Xenopus tropicalis: one gene and its partners. The protein of the gene in region 1 purifies or fractionates together with the protein of each later gene. This does not show direct contact. Links are inferred from orthologs where the notes say so. Each region holds a gene or a part of one and is shown in the gene's direction. Other genes may lie near its edges.

Region 1 (4,059 bases):
TATATGGTAAATACAGCTCTTTTTATGATGTACATTTATTGAGTAGATCAAAATAAGTAAATGTATAAATATCATATACATATATATATGTAGGGACCCATAGGGTTAAGCTCCCTATGGCTTTATCCTCTACCTCTTCACACCTCTATTGTTATTGGGCAGAGCCCCTGTACTTAAGTTACTGTTCTAACACTATTCCCTATAGATTTAGTCAGGTTGACCACTCCCCCTGCAGACTGAAATAGCGTCTAGCAGGGAGGAGTGGCTTCCTCTTTGGCTGCCTGTCTGCTACCTAAGCACAGCTCCTTCTGAGCCTGGGTGCTGCAACAGGCCCCAGTAAGCCACCTTAGTCCAAAGAACACCTTACTAATTGTATAAGTCAGGGACAGGGCCCTGTGAATGAGGATAAGTAAGCACAGCAGATTTATTTAATAGCACTCTCTAGTAGAAGTGAGCATAGTCAGCTCTAGCTAGAAAGGGCCATTAGCCTACCAAAGGAATGATTAGATCCAGGAGTATTTCTCCTATCCGGCAATGTTGTCTCAGTGCAGGGCTCTAGGAGGACTCAATCCACTAGAGGTTATCAACCTGAAGGAGTTCCTACTACTTGCACTATCTCTCAAGGGGTACTGGTTGAAAGGTGTATATCCCGGCCCAGACTCTACCAAGAGGTGGGGTAAACCGGTGTACACTCTCTCTTCTACAAAAGAGAAATCCCTCATTGTACCATTTCAATCTGCATGTCTGTGAGTATGATAACCCTGCATAACATCTGTGTCTTTGACCAATAAATCTGTATTATAGTTCACCAGCAAGAACCTTTCTGCGTCCATTTATACCATCTACACTACACAGCATCAGAAAGTTGTAGTTCAACTACACCCTCAGCTCCTATCTTACATCTCCCACATAGCAGAGGCCCATGCCGAAGAATTAAGGGTCACATGTAACACATGCTCTATATTACACTACAAGCCTGGGTTGGCCTAATCTAAGACAAAATAGTGTTACATATAATACATATAAGAAGAAAAGTTCTGAAAAAGTAAACTGTAAAAAGTAGCCTGTTTGCTACAGCAAGATTAAATGTGCACAAATTAATCGTTTCGGTGCCCTTTAAGAAGTGTCCGCATCAAAGCAGAGGGAGGCAATCCAACTTAAAGTAACAGCCAGCAAACAATTTTATGATTTGCTGAAGTCAAGATTTAGAGGCGGGGATAGCTTGCAGTCTAGGAAGTAAGGGCTGTACCCTCATTTCTTCTTTCGGTTTTGTGTGTGTGAGTTGGTGATTCTAGAGGTATCCGGAATCAAAGTAAATTTCAAGACGTTTTATTTTGCTTTCTTGAGCTTATTATACAGGACGGCGTCAGGTACGTTGAAAGAGAGACATTTTACTCCACTGTACGGCGCCCATTTTAGGACATCATCGGTATAAACGCTTCTGCTAATGATTCTGTTTTTATAACTGTGCCTGTCTGGGCAACCCCATTGCTCTTTTGGTCTATTATATACTCATCACTATACTGCAGCATATATTATATAATTTTCGTAATTGTGTGCATCATTCTGCCTCTGCTAACATTTGCCCAGTTTTGATTAATAAGCCGACTGGATCATTCTGTATTTGGTCTACTTGGTTATAAACTCCAGTGTGCACAGCCCATGTTTAATCTGCTTTATGCTGAGTAATCCTGCCCATTTGTGAATCCTTGTGTACAGCTGGTGTATCACTTACCACAGTGACTTTTGTTTTTTGGAAACCCCTATTTTAATTTACATTGGTTTGTGAGCACTCTAAAGGCTGTCATGTACTGTTAAGTTGAGCTGCAAATCTGCACTGCTATTGTTTAATATTTGCCACTACTTAGCCAAGCAAATTTTATTTGCACAATTCATCTAAAAAAAAAAATCTACACAACATGTCTGTGGGTTTAATTAACTTGAATGTATTCCAATACCACTGGGTGACAAATTTATCCTGTATTTTTCAGTCTCAACTCTGATCTCTGAGTTTTTTGACAGACATTTCTATTTGAATATAAGACAGAATAACCCTTTTTCCCAGTGCAAACTTTAGAACACCCTAGAAATAACAAGCGCTCTAATGGCCTATTGCCTTAGGGTTGTCTTTGATTTTACCCTCTCCTTCAGTTGTCATATCCAATTAATAACTAAATCATGTCATGTTCACTTACAGAATAAAATATCGCTATCAAAAATGATGCCAGCATGACCATTCCTGCCATAAGACGGGAGTGTGCAACAGTTTACCAGGGGTGGCAAAAGAAGGCCCCTAACAATTAATTTTTAAATTCAGCTCTTCTAGTGCAAATAGACCGTTCCACTCCCTGTATTAGAGATACTGCTCCTCATAAATTAAGAATATATATTATTTTACAATTTAAAGTTTATAGCTGTTCATTTATTACCTACGAATATTCTATTTACTGGCAATGATTGCCCTATTTTATGATTTCATTTGACACGTGTAAGAACCAAACCTATTGTAATTTATGCATCTGTTCTTAGCTTGTTGTATAAACTGTTATTGGTGTATGTGAAGCAGTTGCACTGTAAAAATACATTGAATAGTCGGGTTTCCCCAGAGAACACGGTTTCCAGAAGGGCTGTCTGGGCCAAAACTCTCTGCCCGGTTTTCCTAATTTGGTAAACTGGGCAGGACTTTCCTAGATTAACATGGACCTGTATGTGCTGAAAAACGAACCCTCGGCTTATACTCGAGTATAAGGATTCGAGGCTGAACAAGTTTGTTTTACGGGGCACCCCTCTTCCCTCCCCGCGGCTGGACAGAGGGCTGGACGGGCGTGCGTGCACGAACCAACGCACGCATGCATGTGCACACAACAATATTTTGGGCATGTACAAATGCGTACGCAGAAAGGGTGTTGGGTGATAAGGAGAGAAACAAAGGAAGGGGGCACAGATAAGAAGGCAATCTGGGAACTACAAATCCCAGATTTATTAAATTATACATTACCCTATATCACTACCACCTGCTCTATGGCTGCTAGCTAAGTAAAGTCAAAAGGATAAATCACCATTGTGGTCATTTGGAGCATGTTGGGAATTGTAGTTCTTTGTACAATAATATTACAATGAGTGCATCACTATATACAGATTCTGTACATGAGCCGTTTATTTATCTGGATGTCAGCTGACCCCCTCGGATCACTGTTGTGCCCTACAGAGAGTGTTCTGAATGTTCTGGTTGGGCCTTGGCCGGTACGCATTGCACTATGGGAGTGCATGGGAATTATGGGAAACAACCTTGTGCAGATATGGAAAGCTCAGTCAGTGGGTCCCTAGGCAGGTATTGTATACTTACAGGCCTGGACTGGCAATCTCTGGGTTCTGGCAAATGCCAGAGGGGCTGATGTAAGATGCCACAGACAGTCACTATTTATTGGGCTGGGGGGCTTTTTGGGCCCCTGTGTACTTGAAATGCCAGGGCCTATTTCGAATCCCAGTCCAGGCCTGCCTACCTACCTGCTACTGGTGGCCTATACTAGCTTGTTTGCCGGTGGCTACTGACAATAAAATATAAGGAAGAGACACGACTTTTCCCTTTGCTAATGGAGTTCTTGAAGCTGGAAACGGAACCTTTATATTATACGCCATGGCGCAGGCTTCTAGGGGGCAGAACAAGATGGTGGAATGTATTGTTGACTTTTTAGCGGTAAATATCCAGGGTGCCTACCCCAGAGTTACTAGGGTTGGTTCACCAATGAGTGTCCAGGGTGTCCAGGGCCTACCTAGGCTTATACTCGAGTCAATAAGTTTTTCCAGTTTTCTTAGGTAAAATTAGGTAATTAAAATGGAGGGTATGGGAGACGGGCTTTCTGTAATTCGGAGCTTTCTGGATAACTGGTTTCCGGATAAGGGATTCCATACCTGTAATTGGATAGAGAACTGACTGAAGGATAGATTGCAGAGAGTGCTGTTAAATTGAACATTTTCCAATTGGACCAGTGTTGTTAGTGGAGTACCGCAGGGGTCTGTCTTTGGTCTTTGCTTTTTAACTTGTTTAATAATAACCTG
Region 2 (4,132 bases), on another chromosome or scaffold:
GAACCTGGAATAGACACAGGGCTTGAGGAGGGTAGTGTTGTGCCTACACATGCAAATGACTGTAGTGGATCACACCTTAATGCATGTGCAGTGTAGCGGTACAATAAAAAGTACCTAGGTCCAGTGCATTTTTTAGAGAAGAAGAACACTGGCCATGGGGTCCTAGGTTAGAGTTACTGGTGGGTGACCAGTTTTTTTACCCCCCAGTCAGTTTGGCTTTCTTGTCTTTCAAGGCTTGGGGCACACTGGCATATTGTCTGCTGTTGCAGAAGTGTTTGATCATTTCCATTTGTCTTGTCTATAGCAGAGACAGACAGATTTTGTCTAGAAACAATTTTCTGGTCAAGCTCTGCCTGCAACCAGCAGTTCCATTCAATATCTATGAACTGAGTGACGGGCAGAATGGTCACAATCTAACCAGTGAGGAATAAACCCCTGTGCCATAGGCCAATTGGTGTGTCTGGGCAAGCCGACAAGCCACACAGGCTCCAGCTTGTACAGTGTATATATCTAACAACAATAGCTATTAGTGGGAGGAAGGACTACCAGAGAGGTAATAGAGGCACTTGGACACAATTAATGTGTGTCACCAATTGTGACAATGAGCAATGAGTGGCTTTTTTGGTGCTTCTACTGAGGCAAAATCTAGCAACACACCTTCTCCCAGGAGGCACCTATGTTAAAGAACTGTAAGCAATGATGGACAAAATTTTTTAATACGTCAGCCTTCAAGTTAAAATAAGACAAAAATGTCTCACTTTTGCTTTGGAGGACTCGTATTGTGTAAACTCCCTAAACGCGATGCTTGGGCCTGATACAGGAACACAGGATGGGGTATATTAATCATGTTATGCAAAAAGTGGAGTGATGCATTACCTGTGATGTTGCCCAGGGCAACCAATCAGCTATTAGATTTCAAGTTTCAAGAACACCAAAGCAAAACATCTCAATGGCTGCTATGAGCAACATCACCAGTAATGATTCACTCCACTTTTTACACAGCATGATAAATATAAGTATAGTCTATTCCACCAATCTACCTAGCCTTTGTGTTACCGACAGCACTTAGGCTAGCTATAGGACCGCAACACTTTCCCCGCAAAAAGAGGGGCTAATGTGAGCCGCACCGTATCCCCTCTTCTTCCCCACCCGAATGCAGCACCGCTCTTATACAACTCGCAGCTTATGCAATTGGCGCCTTTTTTCGAATCCTGCGTAGTGACGCAACGAGTCGCGTCCGAGCCACGTCGCGGCGGGTTCATTACGCCTGCGCGCAAAGCAGCAAGATGGCGGACAGTGCGGAACTGAAGGTAAAGCGCAGCTGGAATTGCGGGACCGGGATTGCGGTCTCCGCTATGTATTGGCAATTGGGAGGTCGGGTGTGTTGAAGCGAATGGCCGGGGGAACTCGCAGAAGCGGCTCCCGGAAGCAGAGGGAGTTATGTTGCATGTGTAAGGCAGAGGGGCCCTTGTTATTGTTGGTGCTGCCCGGGTGGAGGGGGCTGGTGAGGGCATGTTGGTTAGGCTGGTAGGAGGGCGAGGGTCCTGATGCACACACGGAGCGAGGGAATGTGAGCGGCGGCAGCCCGGGCAGGGCGCACGGTAGGGGCTGCTGGGAGCTCTCCCAAGGGATGAGTGAGAGGAAGATGCTCCTACTTGGTACTTGGTCTCTTTAATAAGCGATGTTGCGCGTCTCCTGTTGCTGCCCGACCCCCCAATCCATCACTACTGACAAGCGGCTGTCAGGGGATGTGCGATACTTTAATGAAAGGAAGTTTCTGCGCCGTGTGGACTTTATTCCGCTTCATTCGGGGATCTGTCGGCTCCAGGATACTTTATCGCACACAGTCCTGCCCGCTAAGCCCGGCGTAATGACGGGGGGGGGGGGGCTGTCAGGGTTGCCAAGCAACAGTTCTCATTTAATAACATTTCTCGGGGATGGATTCCTATCTTGTGCTGACAAATAAGCAGCGTTTATTCGGGATCTTAAAAACGTTTGGCTTGATGTTCACTTTGCAGAGTCCCGGGTTGAGCTGCTTGTTTCGGCTGATTCATACAGAGATCTGGGGTGCGTGTGAGGTGCTTCTATTTCTTATAAAATTGCTGTTTATTTTACGTTTATTTTACATGTCCCTATCTCCTGTCACCATGCTCAGGGATCCTCTGTGCCTGCTACCCTTCCGCTAACTCCCCTCCCCCACTCGCCTCCCCTCCCCCACCCTTCCTCTGCATGGCCCTGTCTCTCTCCCCAGACATCATGTTGCTCTGCTGATTGATAGGAAGTGATAGTACCTGGTGGGCTTGCATCCCTTGTAGAGCTGATAGAGGGGCTTCACAGAATGCTTTCTCCTCCAAGTTTCCCCTCTATGCATTGGGCACCGCTTGCAGCAAACTTTCTTCCTGCTGTACCATCTTCTCTTAACTGGGAGCCTGTGTGCTGTCTGATAAACACACAGATGTGCTGTACCGTAACTTGCATCTCTCAAAAATCCACTGTATTGGGATTCGGCTGATCCCCCAAATATTTCATGAAAGAATACTAAACCGAATCCTAACTTGCCTATGAAAATGAAGGCACAGAAGGTGTAAAAACAACCGCACGTGGTGAAAAATGTTCAACTTCAGCTTTTATATGGTGAAAAGTCACATAATTTGAAGGATTTGTTTTAGCCAGGCCCACAGATTCGGCTCAATCTTGAAGAAAAAGCCGGAATCTTGGCCGAATCTGGAACCAAATCCTGGATTCTGTGCATCCCTAGTCTGAGGCAAGGAGTTGTCATTTTATTGACTTTGGTATATCAAGGCTATGCATTAGTACTGTTGTACTATAGTAAGTGCTTAAGAATAGCCTGTTGCACCTGTATATATTCAGTGTACTTTGTAATTTTAATTGTGTAATTCATATATTTATACATTGTAATGTATGCATTTTAGATTGTGAGATATTGTAAGATATAACAGGCAGAGCCTTCTTTACCTAATGAATCAGTCAGTAATTGTGTGATTAATGTGTATACCCTCTCCAGACAGGAGTGAGCTGCATTGAAGCACACAGACCCACAGTATAATCCAATTGCTGGCCTGTCAGGCTGCTTTGATACTATGAATCAGTGGGCAAATTTGGCAGGCTATGTTCTGCTCTGTATCTGAAAGCCTGACAGGCTAAAGCTGAGCAAAGAATGGGGTTTGTTTACACAGAAGGCTTTCCAGTGGTGTGCTGACTTGTTTTGATTGTGCATGTAGGTATCAGGAATTAGAACACGCTTTTCATTTTTAAATTTTGCCCTGTGTAGCGTAGGAATATAAGATGATGGTATTTGCTGCCCCTTTTGAATGCATGGCTAGTTTTTATACTTTTCTCTGCAATTTAAGATGGCCATGATGACATTGAGGTGGACAATATCAGGCTGATAGCTTGGCCCTCGGCCCAACAATTGGGTCATAATTGTCACCATGTAGGCAGTCGAATAGAGGACCCAGTCAACCCACAGATGTGGCCTTCAATCCTATGGGGAAATCAAACCTACCTGATTGACATATTGCCTGATTTTTGTCCAGATATCGGTTGAGTAGGCCCTGTCGTGGGGACCCCATACATGGGTGGATAAGCTGCTTATCCTGCTTGTCTGCTAAATTGGTGGGCATTAACTGGCATGATTCTACCATTTGAGGACACGATGTATGCTGCAATGTTTGGTCTGACCAAGCTAATAACTTTCATTAACCTCTATAGCTGTGCATGGAAAGCTCGCATACAAGTAATTATGTGCAAGTACTAAGTAGGGCCTGATTCTGACTGCAGTTCTGCCTCTGAAACAATAACATGACTAATATACTGGTGCTTATAAACAATCTGACATAAGTAGATGAATATATGCAGGAGGACTTAGGTATTGTTGTTCTAAACATTAAGAAATGCCTTGTGCATACTTGAGGAATTAGTTACAATGAGGAAATGAAGCATGGGCATAGTGACTATTCATCAGATGCTCATGGCACTAACATCATATTGTAATTATATGTTGGTAGTCCATTATGTATGCTGATATTTGGATTCTATATTTATGACTGTACTATTTTTGTCCAGCAATTAGCAAATTATAAATAGCTTCCTGTTAGGTGAACTAGTTGAC
Region 3 (4,213 bases), on another chromosome or scaffold:
TGTAAGCTTCATTGTAGGCCAGGTTTATGGAAACTCCTTCTCTTCTTGGACATAAGTTCATTCATTCATTCATTCATGCTGTACAAAAAAACAAACCAAAACAGTACAATATACCCCACCCATAGTGTAACAAGTACACAGAAAATATATGTTCTGTGTGCACAATTGGTTATACCCACATATTCTACATCCTTGGAAAAACTATAGTGGCACAAACATGTGATACAAGGGAATCCAACATCACTGCCACTATACATATGTTTTGTATCTGGAGAATGTCCTACACAGTCACAAGGGACTTCAGTAGGTATCTGCTTGCCTGCTCCTAAAGCCCTTCTGAGTCATAAATTACATAAATCCATACAGATGTTATCTAGTTTATATATATAAATTACATACATTTGTACTGTGCAACCAAAACTGACCAAAACAGTCCATCTATACCCCTTGATGAGACCTAGGGGCACATTTACTAAGCCACGAACGGGCCGAATGCGTCCGATTGCGTTTTTTTTCGTAATGATCGGTATTTTGCGATTTTTTTCGGAAAAATTTTGTGACTTTTTCGTTACTAATACGATTTGTGCGAAAAAACGCGAGTTTTTCGTAGCCATTCCGAAAGTTGCGCAAAATCTGTCGATTTTTCGTAGCGTTAAAACTTGCGCAAAAAGTTGCACCTTTTAAGTTTTAACGCTACGAAAAAGGCGAAACTTTTCGCGCAAGTTTTAACGCTACAGAAAAATCGGGCGATTTTGCGCAACTTTCGGAATGGCTACGAAAAACTCGCGTTTTTTCGCGCAAATCGTATTGGTAACGAAAAAGTCGCGACAATTTCCGAAAAGTCGTAAAGACGCCGAAAAAATCGCAAAAAATACGAAAAAGTCGCAAAATGTTCGTTTTCAAGTCGGAATTTTTCCAATTCGGTTCAGATTCGTGTCTTAGTAAATGTGTCCCCTAGAGTTGGGTCAGTCCCAGAGACTTTCATTAATCTCAATTATATTATAGAGACTGGTTGTGCAGTTGGTGCACATCAGATTATATTAGTACACATCCGATTACAAATGTTATATCTTCCATTTCTCTAATGTAATAGGTAATTGGATGTGCACTAATGTAATATATACATGTGGACGAATCATAGGCTGTAGGGGTGAGTCAGTATCACCTTGGGTGTGTTCTTATTTCGCTGTTTATTAGCTCTACAATAACCAATAACATCGTTGTGACGCGATTAACCCCACACACACACAAATCCAAGCACATTGTAGGCAAGTCCTATTAGTGGCTTGCTGATGGTCACGTGATTTCGGGGAAAAGGAGGAGGCTGATCTTAGAGAGACGAGGAAACTGGTAAGGGCGGGGGGAGTGTTAGCGGAGATATTTGCTGGTGGAATAAACAGGGGAAGAGAAGAGGAAGCGCCCACCACTGACAAGCGAAACTTCTGACTGAAGCAAGGCAGGGAAGTGCAGATATAACTAACACAAGGTATGTGGGTGCAGACTAATGGCTTCCCTGCTGCTAGTTTGTATGCGGAAGAACAAGTTGGTGGGTCTCTATTTGCAATGCCATGTGCTTGAGAATATGCTGTCATTTCATTTTATAAGGACTGCGCTTCTCATTGCACTTTATGCATTCTACCTTAGTAGGTTTGCTGCAAAAATAGGAATTTTTTTAGGCACGGTGCCAATTTATTGCGCCACAGGCTGACAAGGACAGTAGATGTTTCTGGGGACAAATCCACCCTTTTTTTTTAAGAAATAAAGTGTAATACACAAAAGTGAAATTTACAAAACAAATTCCCAACCCCTTTTTCAGATTGATCAATAGTGGATTATGGGAATTGTAGTCCCACCTAATTTTGAAAGGAGAATGTACTCCCATTGTATTGAGTAACTGAAATACTTTATACATAGGGAGGGGAGTATTATGTTTGGAAATTTAAAACTTTATCGATTGATTATTGTGTATATATAAGTGGAAGAAGAGTATACTTTTGCTGGATTAAGAAATGCTTTACATTTGTTGAATATAATGTTTAGCAGTTTAAAACGTAATCAATAGGGCATCATGGTAAATGTAGTCCCAATTATTGAATTCTAAGTAAAGTGTAGTTCCACATTAAAATTGTTTCCACCATCAGTGGTGCGGTTAGGCAAAACAGTTGTATTTTTTGGGGGGGATTTTAACATGCTTATGAACTTTATGGAAAATATTCCAATACATAAAAACAAACTTAGAGGGCTATTTAATATAAGGTGTAAAGTTTCCCACAGTTCTTATCACCTATAGCAACCAATCAGCAGGAAACCTGTTGATTTGTTTAAAAGTAAACATCTTATTGGTTGCTAAGTGTTACTGTGCATAGTATTTTATTACATAAACATATTTAGGGCTGTGACCAATCTCCCTTGTCGCGGGCGACTAATCTCCCCGCAGCGCCATCCCACCGGGTAGAACAGGGGGCCAATACGCCGAACGTGGTCCACCAGTCGATCCCCCATGGATTCCTGGTGGACCGCAATCAAGCCGGGGATGCGGAAGTGCTGCGTGAATGTGTACGTACGCATTCACACCGCACTTCCACATTCCCTAGTCATCGGGACACCCCTGGGCTAGAATGTAAATCGCCGGTGAGATGGCATACCCAGCGCCATGATTTGCCGAACTTTCCTCTTGAGGTGACTATGGCAAACTGCAGTGCCGTGTATGCCATCCCACTGCCGATCTACATTATAGCCGGTGGGATGATTAGGGGAGATTAGTCGCCCGGGTACAGCAACCTATATCAACCTACAAGATGTTTGCTTTCAACAGTTGACCAGCAAATGCTACCTGCTCATAGGCTGATATGGAAACATGCTCCTGGGAAAAATTACAGTGGCAAAACATGGATCAGCCACAGGTGCTGTCTGCCCATAAATGAAACAAACAAGCAGCAACCTTACTACTGTTCTGATCAGTCATGCATAGCATACAAACAATTAGAACAGCAGCAAGTAAAGCATAATTGTTGCTCTTCTTCACTTCCTTGTCTGACCGACATGGTGCATCACAGTCGAACAATGTCCATTGTATATGGATAGCAGCTGACTCGCTGATTGCTGCTGCAAATCTTGATGTATAGTAGCTAGTAGTGATGTGCGGGCTGGCCTGATACCCACGGTTTACCCCTGGGTCAGGCTGACCTTGGCACATCACAGCACCTAACACTGCTGGCTTCCTCTTCTGGCCTGTTAATTTATAGGCACGTGCCCGACACACCCACCCCTTTTGTGAAGTCATTGTGGGCAGGGTCTATAAATTAGAGGGGAGAAGCCGGGTCAGGTATGGTTAGGGTTGGGAGTGGGCAGGTCAGGGTCGAGGGTTTCTCGACCCGCACATCACTAGTAGCTAGGCATCTGGGAACTGAAGTATCATGGGAGAATGGTGGACAAGGCGTGCAAGATCTATTCTATCTATACAGAGGTAGCCTAGCTTGGTAGGGTCTCTGAGGGCAGTAACTAATATGAATCAATCAATTATACCTGTGCTGTATGGGAGTGACAAGTCTGTGCATGAATTTGACTAGAACTAAAAATTCAAACTAGTAAAGAAAACTTTTATGAATGTTACTACCGCTTTCCAGTTGTTGGAAAACTCAGACACAGTCTGAGCCTTACCTGAAGACTGGAAAGCTGCACTTTAAGAAATATGTTCGTATGTGTATGCAGTTAGCATGTCTTTCTTGTTTTTCATGCCTATTTTTTTCAAAACACCATTCCCGAGGCAAGTGTAGAACTTGTTTTCAAACTCTTTGTGGCTTATCTTCCTGGTAGATCTTGTTAGACCAAACATATTTATTGGCTGTAGCTCCTAGATGAAGCTCTTTGCAATACTCGGCAAGTTAAAAGTAGTGCCATTACAACAGGCAACTCTATCACTCTCATAATAACACTCTCGTATAAGGTAATTACATAGTTAATTTGGGTTGAATCAAGTTTAGTCCCTCCAAATGACCTCAGTGTGTATGTATATATTTCACAAACATATATTTCACATTCTTTTACAAGAAATCTCAGTCTTGCTGGTCTTTTTTTTTTTTTTTTGTAGTATTGGAACCATTTACTGTGCATCCGTCAGATTATGTAGCAGTTTGCTACTCTTTGCATGTATATGTATATACACATACATATGCTATACTAAAGTAACTGTAGATCTTAAAGGAACAGTAAC
Region 4 (4,314 bases), on another chromosome or scaffold:
GGTGAAGTACTAGAGGCGCGGGTGCTGGGTGTATGGGGTGAAGTACTAGAGACATGTGAGCTTGGTGTATGGGGAGAAGTACTAGAGAGGTGGGTGCTGGGTGTATGGGGAGAAGTACTAGAGGGGTGGGTGCTGGGTGTATGGGTAGAAGTACTAGAGAGGTGGGTGCTGGGTGTATGGGGAGAAGTACTAGAGAGGTGGGTGCTGGGTGTATGGGGAGAAGTACTAGAGGGGTGGGTGCTGGGTGTATGGGGAGAAGTACTAGAGGGGTGGGTGCTGGGTGTATGGGGAGAAGTACTAGAGAGGTGGGTGCTGGGTGTATGGGAAGAAGTACTAGAGGGGTGGGTGCTGGGTGTATGGGGAGAAGTACTAGAGAGGTGGGTGCTGGGTGTATGGGGAGAAGTACTAGAGGGGTGGGTGCTGGGTGTATGGGGAGAAGTACTAGAGGGGTGGGTGCTGGGTGTATGGGGAGAAGTACTAGAGAGGTGGGTGCTGGGTGTATGGGGAGAAGTAATAGAGGGGTGGGTGCTGGGTGTATGGGGAGAAGTACTAGAGGGGTGGGCGCTTTATAAATAAATGTTAATGTAATGCTGGGTGTATGGGGAGAAGTACTAGAGAGGTGGGTGCTGGGTGTATGGGGAGAAGTACTAGAGGGGTGGGCGCTTTATAAATAAATGTTAATGTAATGCTGGGTGTATGGGGAGAAGTACTAGAGGGGTGGGTGCTGGGTGTATGGGGAGAAGTACTAGAGGGGTGGGTGCTGGGTGTATGGGGAGAAGTACTAGAGGGGTGGGTGCTGGGTGTATGGGGAGAAGTACTAGAGGGGTGGGTGCTGGGTGTATGGGGAGAAGTACTAGAGGGGTGGGTGCTGGGTGTATGGGGAGAAGTACTAGAGGGGTGGGTGCTGGGTGTATGGGGAGAAGTACTAGAGGGGTGGGTGCTGGGTGTATGGGGAGAAGTACTAGAGGGGTGGGTGCTGGGTGTATGGGGAGAAGTATAGGGTTGTGTAATTCCTCTAGTTGAGTGAATCAGTCGGTGCGACTCACCAGGGAAGAATGAGAGAAAGGAAGACAAGGGAAGCCAGGCTAGCTCTGGGAGGGGAGGAGGAGAGAGGGGGAAGTGTTGGGATTAGAGGTGGGATCTGAGAGGGGAATAATGCAAATGAAAGGGGAAGGACAAAGGGGAAAGACAAAAAGGGACAGGCCGAATTAATAAGCGCCCCGGACTGTGGTGAGAGAGCAGGCTGGGTGTCACTGGGGCAGTACAGAGACCCCCCAACGGGAGTGACAGGCTGGGCCAGGGCTGATTCAGTGGGAGGAGGGACAGGCGGACCCGGGGGAGGGCAGCACAGGCGGAGGGGAGGAGGGAGCTGGAGCCGGCCGGGCGTGAACCGTACGCTGAGTAGATCCCCAAACTTCCCGGCCCAGGAGGAATCTGATGTGTGGGGAGAGGCACCGGGAGATAGTGGGTACGAGAAGAGCGCTCTTGCCCCCCTCTGTGTGAGGGGGGTTCCCGGAGAGTGGAATCTCCCGATATCTCAGGCAGGACAAGGTAAGTAGTGGCTGCACCGTGCCGCTAGGGGGCGTAGGATAGTACCACGGGTGCAGAGAATGGGGGCGCTATAGGCTGCTTGGGAATGGTGTATGTAACGCCTTTGGGGGTATTTGGAGCACTGCTACCATATGGGCCTTTAAATCTCACTCTGGCCCGGTATTCGGTGGGTATGCCTGTGTATATGTTGTGCACACAGGCCCTTTAATGGTCAGGGTAAGTGCAGCATGTTTCCTGCGAACATCAGGGGTTAAACTTCTGGGCCAATAAGCTAGCGTACATTTAACACATGATTTTGAGATGGGGGCATGCTGGGAGTCACTGGGCAAGTCTGGAGTTGAGAGAATATTGGGGAGTGAAGGGGCTAGTTAGCAATATTGGGTGTGCTGGGCATGGATGGGGGGAATTCTATAGTATACAGGGCATGTATGGGGGAATGCTATAGTATACAGGGCATGTATGGGGGGAATGCTATAGTATACAGGGCATGTATGGGGGGAATGCTATAGTATACAGGGCATGTATGGGGGGAATGCTATAGTATACAGGGCATGTATGGGGGGAATGCTATAGTATACAGGGCATGTATGGGGGGAATGCTATAGTATACAGGGCATGTATGGGGGGAATGCTATAGTATACAGGGCATGTATGGGGGGAATGCTATAGTATACAGGGCATGTATGGGGGGAATGCTATAGTATACAGGGCATGTATGGGGGGAATGCAGGAGGGTACAGGGCATGTATGGGGGAATGCAGGAGGGTACAGGGCATGTATGGGGGAATGCAGGAGGGTACAGGGTGTGTGTGGGTAAATGGTACAGGGAGTAAAGGATGGCTGGAGAGTACAGGGCATGCATGGAGGAGTGGTGAAGGGTACAAGGCGTGCATGGTGGGTTATCATAGATTGTACACTTGTGAGTCCTCTCTATAATAAACCAAAGGCCATCCTGCTACTGGTTGAAGTTGAGAGTTAAAATTCAACCCAGCTCTATAGGTATGGGTAGTTCTGGGGAGCAAAACTATGCTATGTACCTGTGTATGTATGTGGAACAATTCTGCATATAAACACACACAATGGTCAAACAGCTACTATGGCAGTGGGTTGCACAATTATTATAGTTTATATCTAAATTTAGATTGGTATTAAATGTCATACAGAGCTGGCAGCATTGTTTTTTTTTTTAACTATGTGATTGCTACAATTAGCAAATGGCAAGGGTAAATGTTTATGAATGTACTCAAGCAAATGGGTATCCCTCCCCCTTTTAACCATTTGCTGTGCAGCTTTTAAAGCAGGAGGCTTTAGGGCCATGATCATAACTTTCCAATGTCGCCTTGTTAGTGCCAGGTTGTAGGTAAAGGGCTAAGGGTGCTAGGTTATACGTAGGATGCACCAAACCCACTATTTTCAGATTCCGTCAAACTCAGTGTCCTTCGTAAAGGATTCGGCCAAATACCAAGCATATGTAAATTAGGATAGGGAAGGGTTAAAGCGAGCCTCGTGCGCAGGTTGCGCTGAAAAAATTTCAACTTCTGTGTTTATATGACAAAAAGGCACATGATTTTTAGTGTTCTGATTCAATTCAGTGCATCCCTAGCTGTAGGTATAGGTACATGAGTGCCAAGCAGTGGGTACAGTGGTATATGTGCCAGGCTTTAGATAAAGGAAGGGGCTGTTTACCAGGCTGTAGGTATAGGTACATAAGTGCCAAGCAGCGGGTACAGTGGTATATGTGCCAGGCTGTAGGTATAGGTACATAAGGGCCAAGCAACAGGTACAGTGATATATGTGCCAGGCTGTAGGTATAGGTACATAAGTGCCAAGCAGTGGGTACAGTGGTATATGTGCCAGGCTGTAGGTATAGGTACATAAGGGCCAAGCAACAGGTACAGTGATATATGTGCCAGGCTGAAGGTATAGGTACATAAGTGCCAAGCAGCGGGTACAGTAGTATATGTGCCAGGCTGTAGGTATAGGTACATAAGGGCCAAGCAGCAGGTACAGTGGTATATGTGCCAGGCTGAAGGTATAGGTACATAAGTGCCAAGCAGCGGGTACAGTGGTATATGTGCCAGGCTGAAGGTATAGGTACATAAGTGCCAAGCAGCGGGTACAGTGGTATATGTGCCAGGCTATAGGTATAGGTACATAAGTGCCAAGCAGTGGGTACAGTGGTATATGTGCCAGGCTGTAGGTATATGTATGTGAGTTCTCAAGCTCTGAGTACAATGATACATGTGCCAGGCTGTAGTCAAAGAGGTATATTTGCTACACTGTATGTAAAGGGCTATATGTACCAGACTGTTGGTACAAGTGAAAGGCTTCTGATACAGGGGTATGTATGCTAGGTTGTTGGGAAGGGCCTATGTAGCTAGGCTGGGTAAAGGGCAACGTGTGCCAGGCTTTGTTATCATCGGCTTATCAAATATACTGACACATGAATGTATCTTAGCAAATAACCTTTAGATAAAATCAGCAGGTCTTTTCAACCAAAAATTTATGCTCTGGCCTCCCTCTAGTGCAAAGCTACAACTCCCGAGGGTGATGGGAGTTGTAGTTTTGTACTAGGTGGAGGCTACAGTTGCCTTAGAGCCAGCTAAATCCCAGCTCACCTTCACACGTGCCTCAATCCCTGTTGAGTCTATCAGAATGCAATCTGGAGTGTACTCCCCTCTCTCACCCTGTGTACTCTGAGCCTTCCGAGCCAGCTACGTGTTACAGCCTGCCTGCCATTCTTGGTTAAACTCACATCTCTCC

What was found.
Region 2: the proteins of stat1 (region 1) and pias1 purify together in Homo sapiens (affinity purification with western blotting; 5 studies listed by BioGRID). This does not show direct contact. The link is inferred for Xenopus tropicalis from reciprocal best matches to the Homo sapiens genes STAT1 and PIAS1.
Region 3: the proteins of stat1 (region 1) and irf9 purify together in Homo sapiens (affinity purification with western blotting; 5 studies listed by BioGRID and IntAct, with this or other methods). This does not show direct contact. The link is inferred for Xenopus tropicalis from reciprocal best matches to the Homo sapiens genes STAT1 and IRF9.
Region 4: the proteins of stat1 (region 1) and src purify together in Homo sapiens (affinity purification with western blotting; 3 studies listed by BioGRID). This does not show direct contact. The link is inferred for Xenopus tropicalis from reciprocal best matches to the Homo sapiens genes STAT1 and SRC.

Annotation. Positions count from the first base shown.
Region 1 is NC_030685.2:43,531,973-43,536,031, reverse strand, and holds the start of stat1 (signal transducer and activator of transcription 1-alpha/beta), read left to right. Parts: upstream 1-1,226; 5' UTR 1,227-1,370; intron 1,371-4,059. UniProt on the Homo sapiens protein: Signal transducer and transcription activator that mediates cellular responses to interferons (IFNs), cytokine KITLG/SCF and other cytokines and other growth factors.
Region 2 is NC_030679.2:117,659,492-117,663,623, forward strand, and holds the start of pias1 (E3 SUMO-protein ligase PIAS1), read left to right. Parts: upstream 1-1,207; 5' UTR 1,208-1,286; coding exon 1,287-1,310; intron 1,311-1,333; exon of another isoform or gene 1,334-1,451; intron 1,452-1,926; exon of another isoform or gene 1,927-2,067; intron 2,068-4,132. UniProt on the Homo sapiens protein: Functions as an E3-type small ubiquitin-like modifier (SUMO) ligase, stabilizing the interaction between UBE2I and the substrate, and as a SUMO-tethering factor. Catalyzes sumoylation of various proteins, such as CEBPB, MRE11, MTA1, PTK2 and PML.
Region 3 is NC_030677.2:139,369,348-139,373,560, reverse strand, and holds the start of irf9 (interferon regulatory factor 9), read left to right. Parts: upstream 1-1,288; 5' UTR 1,289-1,486; intron 1,487-4,213.
Region 4 is NC_030686.2:39,477,015-39,481,328, reverse strand, and holds the start of src (proto-oncogene tyrosine-protein kinase Src), read left to right. Parts: upstream 1-1,389; 5' UTR 1,390-1,551; intron 1,552-1,682; exon of another isoform or gene 1,683-1,758; coding exon of another isoform or gene 1,759-1,767; intron 1,768-4,314. UniProt on the Homo sapiens protein: Non-receptor protein tyrosine kinase which is activated following engagement of many different classes of cellular receptors including immune response receptors, integrins and other adhesion receptors, receptor protein tyrosine kinases, G protein-coupled receptors as well as cytokine receptors.